2 linked regions of the Mus musculus genome follow. The protein of the gene in region 1 interacts with the protein of each later gene in a biochemical or structural test. Links are inferred from orthologs where the notes say so. Each region holds a gene or a part of one and is shown in the gene's direction. Other genes may lie near its edges.

What was found.
Region 2: the proteins of Runx1 (region 1) and Dtx2 form a complex in vitro, tested with the Homo sapiens proteins (2 studies listed by BioGRID, with this or other methods). The link is inferred for Mus musculus from reciprocal best matches to the Homo sapiens genes RUNX1 and DTX2.

Annotation. Positions count from the first base shown.
Region 1 is NC_000082.6:92,823,155-92,827,422, reverse strand, and holds the start of Runx1 (runt-related transcription factor 1), read left to right. Parts: upstream 1-1,348; 5' UTR 1,349-1,489; intron 1,490-1,718; 5' UTR 1,719-1,776; coding exon 1,777-1,834; intron 1,835-4,268.
Region 2 is NC_000071.6:135,993,536-135,997,701, forward strand, and holds the start of Dtx2 (probable E3 ubiquitin-protein ligase DTX2), read left to right. Parts: upstream 1-1,264; 5' UTR 1,265-1,431; intron 1,432-1,551; exon of another isoform or gene 1,552-1,789; intron 1,790-2,754; 5' UTR 2,755-2,917; exon of another isoform or gene 2,918-3,065; intron 3,066-4,166. UniProt on the Homo sapiens protein: Regulator of Notch signaling, a signaling pathway involved in cell-cell communications that regulates a broad spectrum of cell-fate determinations.

The DNA of each region.
Region 1 (4,268 bases):
ATCTCCATGAAAACCAAATGAGAGTTCCCTCTGGGGCTCAGACTTAGAGAAGTACCTTGCATGCCTGGAATTTGGGACCCAGGGCTGGCACTTGGAGCTACGCTGCTCAAGGCCCAGCCTCTCATCGGGCATCACCTCGAAATGGAGGGAAACTGAACAGAGGAAAAGGAAGACCCAAGTAAGGAAAGGAAGGCCAGGCCCTGCCTGGGGATCCCAGGAAGACTAAGGCTTCACTTCTCAGCAAGTAAAACAGATAGAACGAAGAGGTCAATAGGTGGAGGTGAACAGAAGAGCTCACACCCACAGAATCATCTTGTCTTTATTGTCTGTCCCCTGACCATGTGACTTCTGGAGGCTGAAGGGCTGTGTAATATCCCCCTCCGGGGGCTGGCCAGGAGGAGGCAGGATCTTGGGTAGTCACAAGTTACTCTTCATGGATTCAAAGAGTAATTATCCCTAGCAGGGTGACTTGGCCCATTTCTTTGAGTGGAGCTCGGAAAGGCTACCAGTAGGCTTTATTGGTACAAACAATGAACAGATAGCTGCCCACAGGCCACAGCTCTGCTGAGTGAGGAAATTCTCCTCCTTTGCTCTCCACAAAACTTCCTAATGCAAGCGAGCGTGGGAACTGGTGCCAGTGTGAAGAGAACGCCACTGTTTCCTCTACTTACCAAGAGATGTCCATGCTAAGCCTATCCGCCAAGGGGAAAGCCAAGGACAACATCATTTGGGTTTTGATCAAAGTGGTCTTTTCATCCCACAATTAAAACGTGTCATACTGTTCCCAAGCTTTGAGATGTCAGTAGGTTGCCAGCCTAGCCCTCCCAGGATCAGCCACTCACGGAAAAGGGCTCTTGGTCTTCTTTTCTAACTTTTCTGTCTCACTTGCTTTCACCAAGAACCCAGCTCTCCCGAGCTGGTGCCCAGCATTTAAGTGATGAGAGCCGCATCCGGGCTCAGCAGCAAGTTGGTGCCAACGTTGAATTGCTGTTGAATAAACAGCAAGGCAATCTTTATCTAAATAATCAGTTGTTCCTCAAACCACAAATAACAACAGGATCTGAAAGCCACCAAATCCGCACAGGACAGAGAGAGCAAGAAAAGACTGAGGCAGGGGATTTCTGTTTGCTTGTTTGTTGTGCTTTTTTTTCTCTTACAGCCCCTCTCTGCTAAGCTCTGCTCAACTGTTTCCTTACACAGCCTGGGGGAGGGCAGGTGGAGGGCAGGAAGGGCATAGCTCAGAAAGTTTAAAAAAAAAAAATTGACATCACTTAAGTCACGTGATTGGCAAGAGCCAATGGCGGTGGGCTGTGGAAAGGGGAACAGTTAAATTTGTAATTTGGGTTGTGTGAAAACTTCTTTGGACCTCATAAACAACCACAGAACCACAAGTTGGGTAGCCTGGCAGTGTCAGAAGTGTAAGCCCAGCACAGTGGTCAGCAGGCAGGACGAATCACACTGAATGCAAACCACAGGCTTTCGCAGAGCGGTGAGCAGTTCAACCCACAGCATAGGCGGTGCTTTCGTCTTTTTTTTTTCCTTTTTTTAATCTTTAACAATTTGAATATTTGTTTCTGCAATAATTCTTTCCCCCACCCCCACCCCATAGGACCCATGGAGTACCAGAAGTGTTAGGGTTGGGGGTAGAAAGAGACGTGGGGAGCCATGGTGGGAGGTGAGGTCAGAGTAAGTGACATTTCTTGGTTTTTGCTCTGAAGGTGAAAGAAATTATAGAATCCCCCGCCTTCAGGAGAGGTGCGTTTTCGAAAGGAAACGATGGCTTCAGACAGCATTTTTGAGTCATTTCCTTCATATCCACAGTGCTTCATGAGAGGTGAGTACGCTGGTCTTTTTTATATCTGATTTTGCTCAGCTTTGCGCAGACTAAGATGGCAGCCCGTGGACCCTCCGGTGCCTGCCTGAAGTCCCTGCCTGCTTGTGGGGGGAGGAATTCAAACAGAGGCTGTTGACTCTGAGACCACGAGATTATTATTTGTCAGACGCCGTGCTGCGGGGATGTTTTAATAAATGCTTAGGCTGTTGAAATATTTGGTCGCTGGGTGAAAGTTGTGTCAAGTGCTCTGAGCCGCTCTCAGTTAAAGTCCCAGAGATTAGAAGGCTGGCGCGGAGGACACTCTTTGGGTTTTATCTGGCTGTGCCTTGCTCTGAATGATTCGCTTGCACTTACTCTGATGGCAGCAAGCTGTCTGGCCCTGGTTCTGAGTTTGGCTTGCCCCTGGGTTTAGCAGGCTCAGTACTTAGCTGGCCGGAAGAGCCGGTGCCAGCAGAGTGGTCTCCGAGAGGCAGCTCACAGGTATACCTTGGATCAGTGCGGAGATTTCAGGGCCAAAGTGGCAAGTCCACAGAGGGCAGGATTTGGGCAGACTCGTTCTGGGAAAAGCCATCAGAAGATGCTGTGTTGTGCTGTGGTTTTTCTTTCAGCCTCAATTGAAAGAGGCAGCCGGCATTGCTCAAGACAGAAAGCCAGCAAGTTGTGGTACACAGTCTCTCTCAGAAAGAACTATGAAGCCATTTCCTAAGTCCACGCACTGTCACAGCAGAAATTACTAGATTACAGACTTATGGGTTGGCACCACGTAGGTCCCTGAACCTTCCTGCATTTTTTACAGCGGCCTTATGGAACTTACAATGCTGGAGTTCAGCCATAGTGCCCATGTGGGCTTGGTGGGTCTTTCAGGATGAGGACTGAGCTTAAGTAAAGAAAAACAGTGGCATAAAGAGCTCACAAAGACGTGGCCGTGTATCAGGACGTGTAGCTTGTGGTATGATGCTCTGGCAGAGCTAAAATGGAGTGGGATGGGATGGGGAAGAAATCATTTGTTTTCTGGATACAAATTATGTGCACACCCAGCCAGTATCTGTGAATCATTATTTATTCATACAGCCAAATGAGTAGGGGAATTCGAGGGCTTGCTGGCGACTTTGTCACAACAAAGGCTATTGAGGTTGTGATGGTTCATCTATGCTGAAACGTGAAAACTGGAGGAAGGTGTGTGTGTGTGTGTGTGTGTGTATGTATATATGTGGTGTGTGTATGTATGTGTGTGTGGTATATATGTGTGTGTGTGTGTGGTATGTATGTGTGTGTGTGGTATGTGTGTATGTGTGTGTGTGTGTATGTGTGTGCATGGAGTGGTATGTATATGTGTGGTGTGTGTGTGTGTATGTGTGGGATGTGGTATGTGTCTATGTGTATGTGGTATATGTGTGTGTGTGGTGTGTGTGTATGCCTATGTGTGTGTGGTACATGTGTGGGGGATGTGTGTATGTGTGTGTGGTGTGGTGTGTATATGTGTGTGTGTGGTATGGTATGTATATATGTGTGTGTGGTGTGTGTGTGTGTGTGAATGAGATGTGGTATGTGTCTATGTGTATGTGGTATATATGTGGTGTGTGTGTGTGTGTGTGTGTGTGTGTGGTGGCACATGTGTTTGTAGGTTTGGGGGGGGTGCATCAGGATTTAAAGAGAAGAGGAAAAAAAGTAAGTCATTAACCAATTTCAAGCTTTAAATTAAGGGCTTCCAAGCACTCCCTTGCTGGTGACAGAGAAATCTGAGTGAGGTCTGAGTGAGGTTGACTCATGGGGACAGGTCTGAGTCATGTATCATCCAGTGTCCTGCAGAGAGTTAGGCAGAGACAGCAGCCCCAGGGGCCCCTGGTGAGAAGCCACCAGCTGCTCACTGGCTGTGTTTCCTCCCGGCAGCCAACAAGCTAAGGAAGCCATCTTTGAATGAAAATTCCTGGCTTACTCTCCTCTCAATGCATGCTCCGAACGCTTGCAGTTTCCTATTAGGTGACCTCAGGAAGACAGAAGCAGAGAACTCTGAATATTCCCCTGGGCAGTAGGCTGGCTGCAGCCTGTGCTGCCCTCCTGGCAATTCCTGTATGAGTTCAACAGAAAGACAGTTAGGGATGTGGTAACAGGGAACAAGCCTTCTGCCTGCAGCGCCTGCAGTGCCAGCACTGGCTAGGGAGCCAGAGTCTGTCACATTCAGCGGGCTGCCTTGGTCTTATCAAAACCCAGAAACGGATGGGGAGAAGAGTGAATGCTTACAATGCAAGCATGGAGATCTAAGTTCGAATCCCTAGAACCTTCATAAAAGCCAGGTGCAGTGCTGTGTTCCATCTGTAACCCTGGCATTCCTGTGGGGAGACAGGAGTTAGAGACAGGGACTCCCTAGAGGACCATAGGTCAGCTAGTCTGGAGTACGTGGGTAGCACCCAACAACAAAGAGACCCTGCCTCAA
Region 2 (4,166 bases), on another chromosome or scaffold:
TAGAGCTTTTGGGGACAGACACGTTTTCTTTGGGCTGTGAAGTCATTAAGATCTTTCTGGCTGTATAGATTATACGTGGGTCCTTGGTGGCTACCATCGGCACTAGGAAATGCCAGGTGCCATCCATTCATCAGAAATAATGAGCAAAGCAGCTGTGTCTTATCAGACTGTCCCTCTGCAGTGTCAGATGGAGACCAATTAGCAGAGGCAGGAAGCAACACAATTCTGCCTTTCCAAGCAAAACAGTAGCAAGCACCCCTGCTCCTCAGTGACACTGCTGAGGCCAGGCCTCCTTGACTTCTCTAGCTGTGTTCATCTTTTCTGCTTGGTGAGCCGGGAGCAGGTTCTGGGAATGGAACAGGCTCTGTGAAGTGGAATTTTAAGGACTTCTTTTGCAAATCCAGGGTCTTCTGCCTACTCGATAGATAAGTGCTCTACCACTGAGCCAGGCCAACTTAAGCCAAGGTTTAACTTTTTTTTTTGTTTTTTGTTTTTTGTTTGTTTGTTTGTTTTTCGAGACAGGGTTTCTCTGTGTAGCCCTGGCTGTCCTGGAACTCACTTTGTAGACCAGGCTGGCCTCGAACTCAGAAATCTGCCTGCCTCTGCCTCCTGAGTGCTGGGATTAAAGGCATGCGCCACCACGCCCGGCTTAACATTTTTTAATAGATTCTTTTCTTATTTAAAAATTTTAAATCTATGTTTTTAAAGACTGTGCTTGTAAGCTCAGCAATTAGGAAGCAGAGGCAGGAGGTTCAAGAGTTTAAGAGCAGCCTAGGCTTACATCACAAATTCAAAGCCACTCCGAGGTACATGAGATCCTGGACCCCTTCCACCCCTACAAGTGGACTCTTATAGCTGGGGATTAATTAGTAGTAGAACACTTGTCTACTGTGCTTGCATTAACTTTGATCCTCAACACCACAAAAGGAAAAATCAGGGTTGGCGATAGGGCTCAGAGGGTAAAGGCATTTGCTGACAAGCCTGACACCTTGAGTTCGATCCGTGGAACCCACGTGAAGGTGGACACGGAGAACGGACTCCTAAAGTTGTTCTTTGACCTCTGTAAGTACACCCCCCTCCAGAATATACACACATAATAAAAAGAAATATAAAAATTATTAAAAATCAAATGCATCAGTGATTAGCGAGGGAGTAAGTCAGTAGGAGAAAGAGAAGGCTGGGTACATTTATATCTGCTGGTGTGCTTTGGTTCAGCCCACTCAGCTTCATCAGAACTACATTTCCCAGAAGGCACTGCGTGAGGTGGACATGCGCAGCGCGGTGCTTGGAGGCTGCGACGCCGAGTTTCACTCCGGCTGCCTCCGGCTCGGAGTCGGAGACATACTCGAGGGTTCTTCCCAGGCCGAGCCGGAGCTGAGCCCGGAGGTCGGCGGTCCTCTCAACCTGTTCCTTCTGCTTCCCTCAGACTCGGTGAGCGGGACGGGCGGGCCACCTGCTGGCGCCCAGCCTGGGGTCCCGAGGGTGGGTGGGTGGGTTGAGGAGAGGGGGCTATTGAGCCAAGCTGAGACCGGAAGGGGGCGGTCGTGCGAGGAGGGAGGGCCGTGCCGGCGGGATGGGTGAGTCCTGGGGGCGTTGGGAGCCCTGGGCACCTCGGTACCAGGGTCCTGGAGGCGGGAAGTCGCAGTTGGGACGCTCTGAGCGTTGGGGACTGGGCTGGGTGTGGTAAGAGCCCTATTTTTTGCAGAGACAGGGGTCGCATCCCTGGCAGTTTGAGTCCTACAGGACCTGGAAGAGCAGTGAGGCTATTGCTACCCTGGCTCCCTGAGGGGTCAGTTTCAGTCCTGGAGCGTTTGTGTGTGTGTGGGGGCGTTACATCCAGGCGATAGGGATCCACCACTGTCTGAGAGAGTTGGACTTTGGAGGCGTTTGCCTTTCCATTCTCGGTCTGTGTCAGACTGGGTCTCTGGGGCACTTTGGGGTGTCTCTGTTTTGAAGCTCCGCTTTTCATCCTATCCCTCACACAGCTGCAGGGTTGCCCGCGTTAGCTTTGCCTCCACAGTGGCATGAATGGGAATGTGTTCACAGGCAAGACCTTTAATGAACTCTCTTTTCTCCGTGCCGTCTTAGCCCCTTTAAAATTCTAGAGAGCCCAGCAATGTGTTGCACATTTATAATCCCAGTATTTGGGAGACAAAGGTTTGCGGGTAGCTAAAGCTTGCCTGTGCTTCATCACAAGATACTATATTACATCCCTCTCACTCCCCAAAAGAGTGCTAGCCAGGTGTGGTGATTTATGACTGTAATTTCAGCACTTGTGAGGCAGAAGCTGGAGACTCAGGAGTTCCAGTCCAGCCCTAAGCTATATACTGTGGCCCCTGCTTAAAACAAAACAAAACAAAAAAACCCCCAACAACCCAAAAGTAACAGTTCTGTGATGTAGAGTTCCCAGTAGCCACGAGAATCAGGATTGACTTCAGTTGGTCAAGGTGTCAAGTCTCTTTGCTTATTTTCTGTGTGACTTTGGTCAAATTTTTATCCTCTCTGGTGTGTTGATTTCCTTCATGGACCATCCGTGGGACCGGTTTCTGAAGTCCTCACGCAGACTTTTCTGAGAAAGGGTTTAATTGAGTGGGCTGAGAAAGACTGTCCCTAGCTTCTGCTCCCTGCCCAAGCTGTTGGAAAATAAGCCTGGTAATTTCCAGTTGCCAGCCACAGCACACGGGACCCAACATCTGTGCGCTCATTTTCTCTTGCCGATTCTTCACTGAAGACTTAATCATCTTTTTGGCAAAGGTACCTCGGAATCGGTGTGGCTGAGTCAGCAAGGCCTCAGATTTGCCGGGTTCTTGTTTGCTGTTCCTATCAAGATGGGAGCTCAGACAAGTTATTGCTTCTGAGGATCTGGTGCTTTCATCAAGAAGGGACAGTTTGGTGCCAGCTCTTCAGTGAAGAGGAGGTGAGAGCCGCGGGGAAGTTAACCTTGCAGCTTTTGAAATCTGGTGTTCCAAGGAGAAGGTGGGTGTGGACCCTGAAGGGAGATGGCTCAGTCCATACAGTGCTTGCCTGGCGAGCAGGAGGGTCCAGATTTGCTCTCCAGAACCAAGGTAAAAAGCCTGGCATGGTGGCATGTACCTGCACTTTTAATGCTAGGGAGGAGACAGGTGAATCCCTGGGGTTTGCTAGTCAGCCAGCCAGCCACGTATTTGGTGAGTGAGCAAGGTTGATAGCACCTGAGGAACTGCAATCCAGGCTGTCCCCTAGCCTGCGGGAACACCCATGCATCTGTGCACACACACACACACACACACACACGCTTTATGGACGGTGGGATTCTGGGGTTCCAGGAGTGAGATGAGGCCCAGGAGTGGATTGTTGATTGCCAGATGTTGCAAATAAATTCACGTGGCCCCTTGCCAGCACAGCCTCTGTCTAACCAGTCTCAGAGGATGCGCCATCCTACCTTAGACATCCTTTATGGGCTGGGAGCAGCTTTGGCAAAGTGCTTAGCCAGCATACAAGACCTGAGTTCAAGCCCCAGCACTTCAGAACATTTATTTTTTATTATTACTTAAAAAAAACGAAACATGCATTTGTTGTGTGCGCATGTGTGGAGGTGACAGGGCACTTTGCAGGAGTCACTTCCCTCCACCAGGTGAGTTCTGGAGATCTAAGTCAGGTGATCAGGATTGGCAGTAAGTGCCTTTACCTGCCAAGCCATCTGACTGGCCCCTCCCAATTCTATTTAATTTTTTAAAAAAGAAATAACACTTTATTTCCTGGCTGCACAAACCTGACCACCTGAGTTCTGTCCCTGGATCTCATAGTGGAAGGAGAGACGGGATTCCTGAAAGCCATCCCCCCTCCCCCAGCTTCTTCACCCTTCCGTTTCAAACACAAGTCCATACTCACACTATAATAATAAATTAAAAGAAAATATGCCTAGTAAGGTGATGGATGCCTGCCATCCCACACTTGGGAGACTTAGGCAGAACTGCAAGTTTGAGGTTAGCCTGGGTATGTAGCCAGTTCACCCTTGCATGGTGTTATAAGTTGTAATCCCAGCATTCAATAAACTGAGGCAAGAGGATCATGAGTTTGGGGCTATCCTGGGATATGCAGTGAATTCTAACCCAGCCTGGGCTACACAGGGAGATATTATCTTAAAACTAAAAAAACCAAACCAAAACAAAACAACTAACAACCCA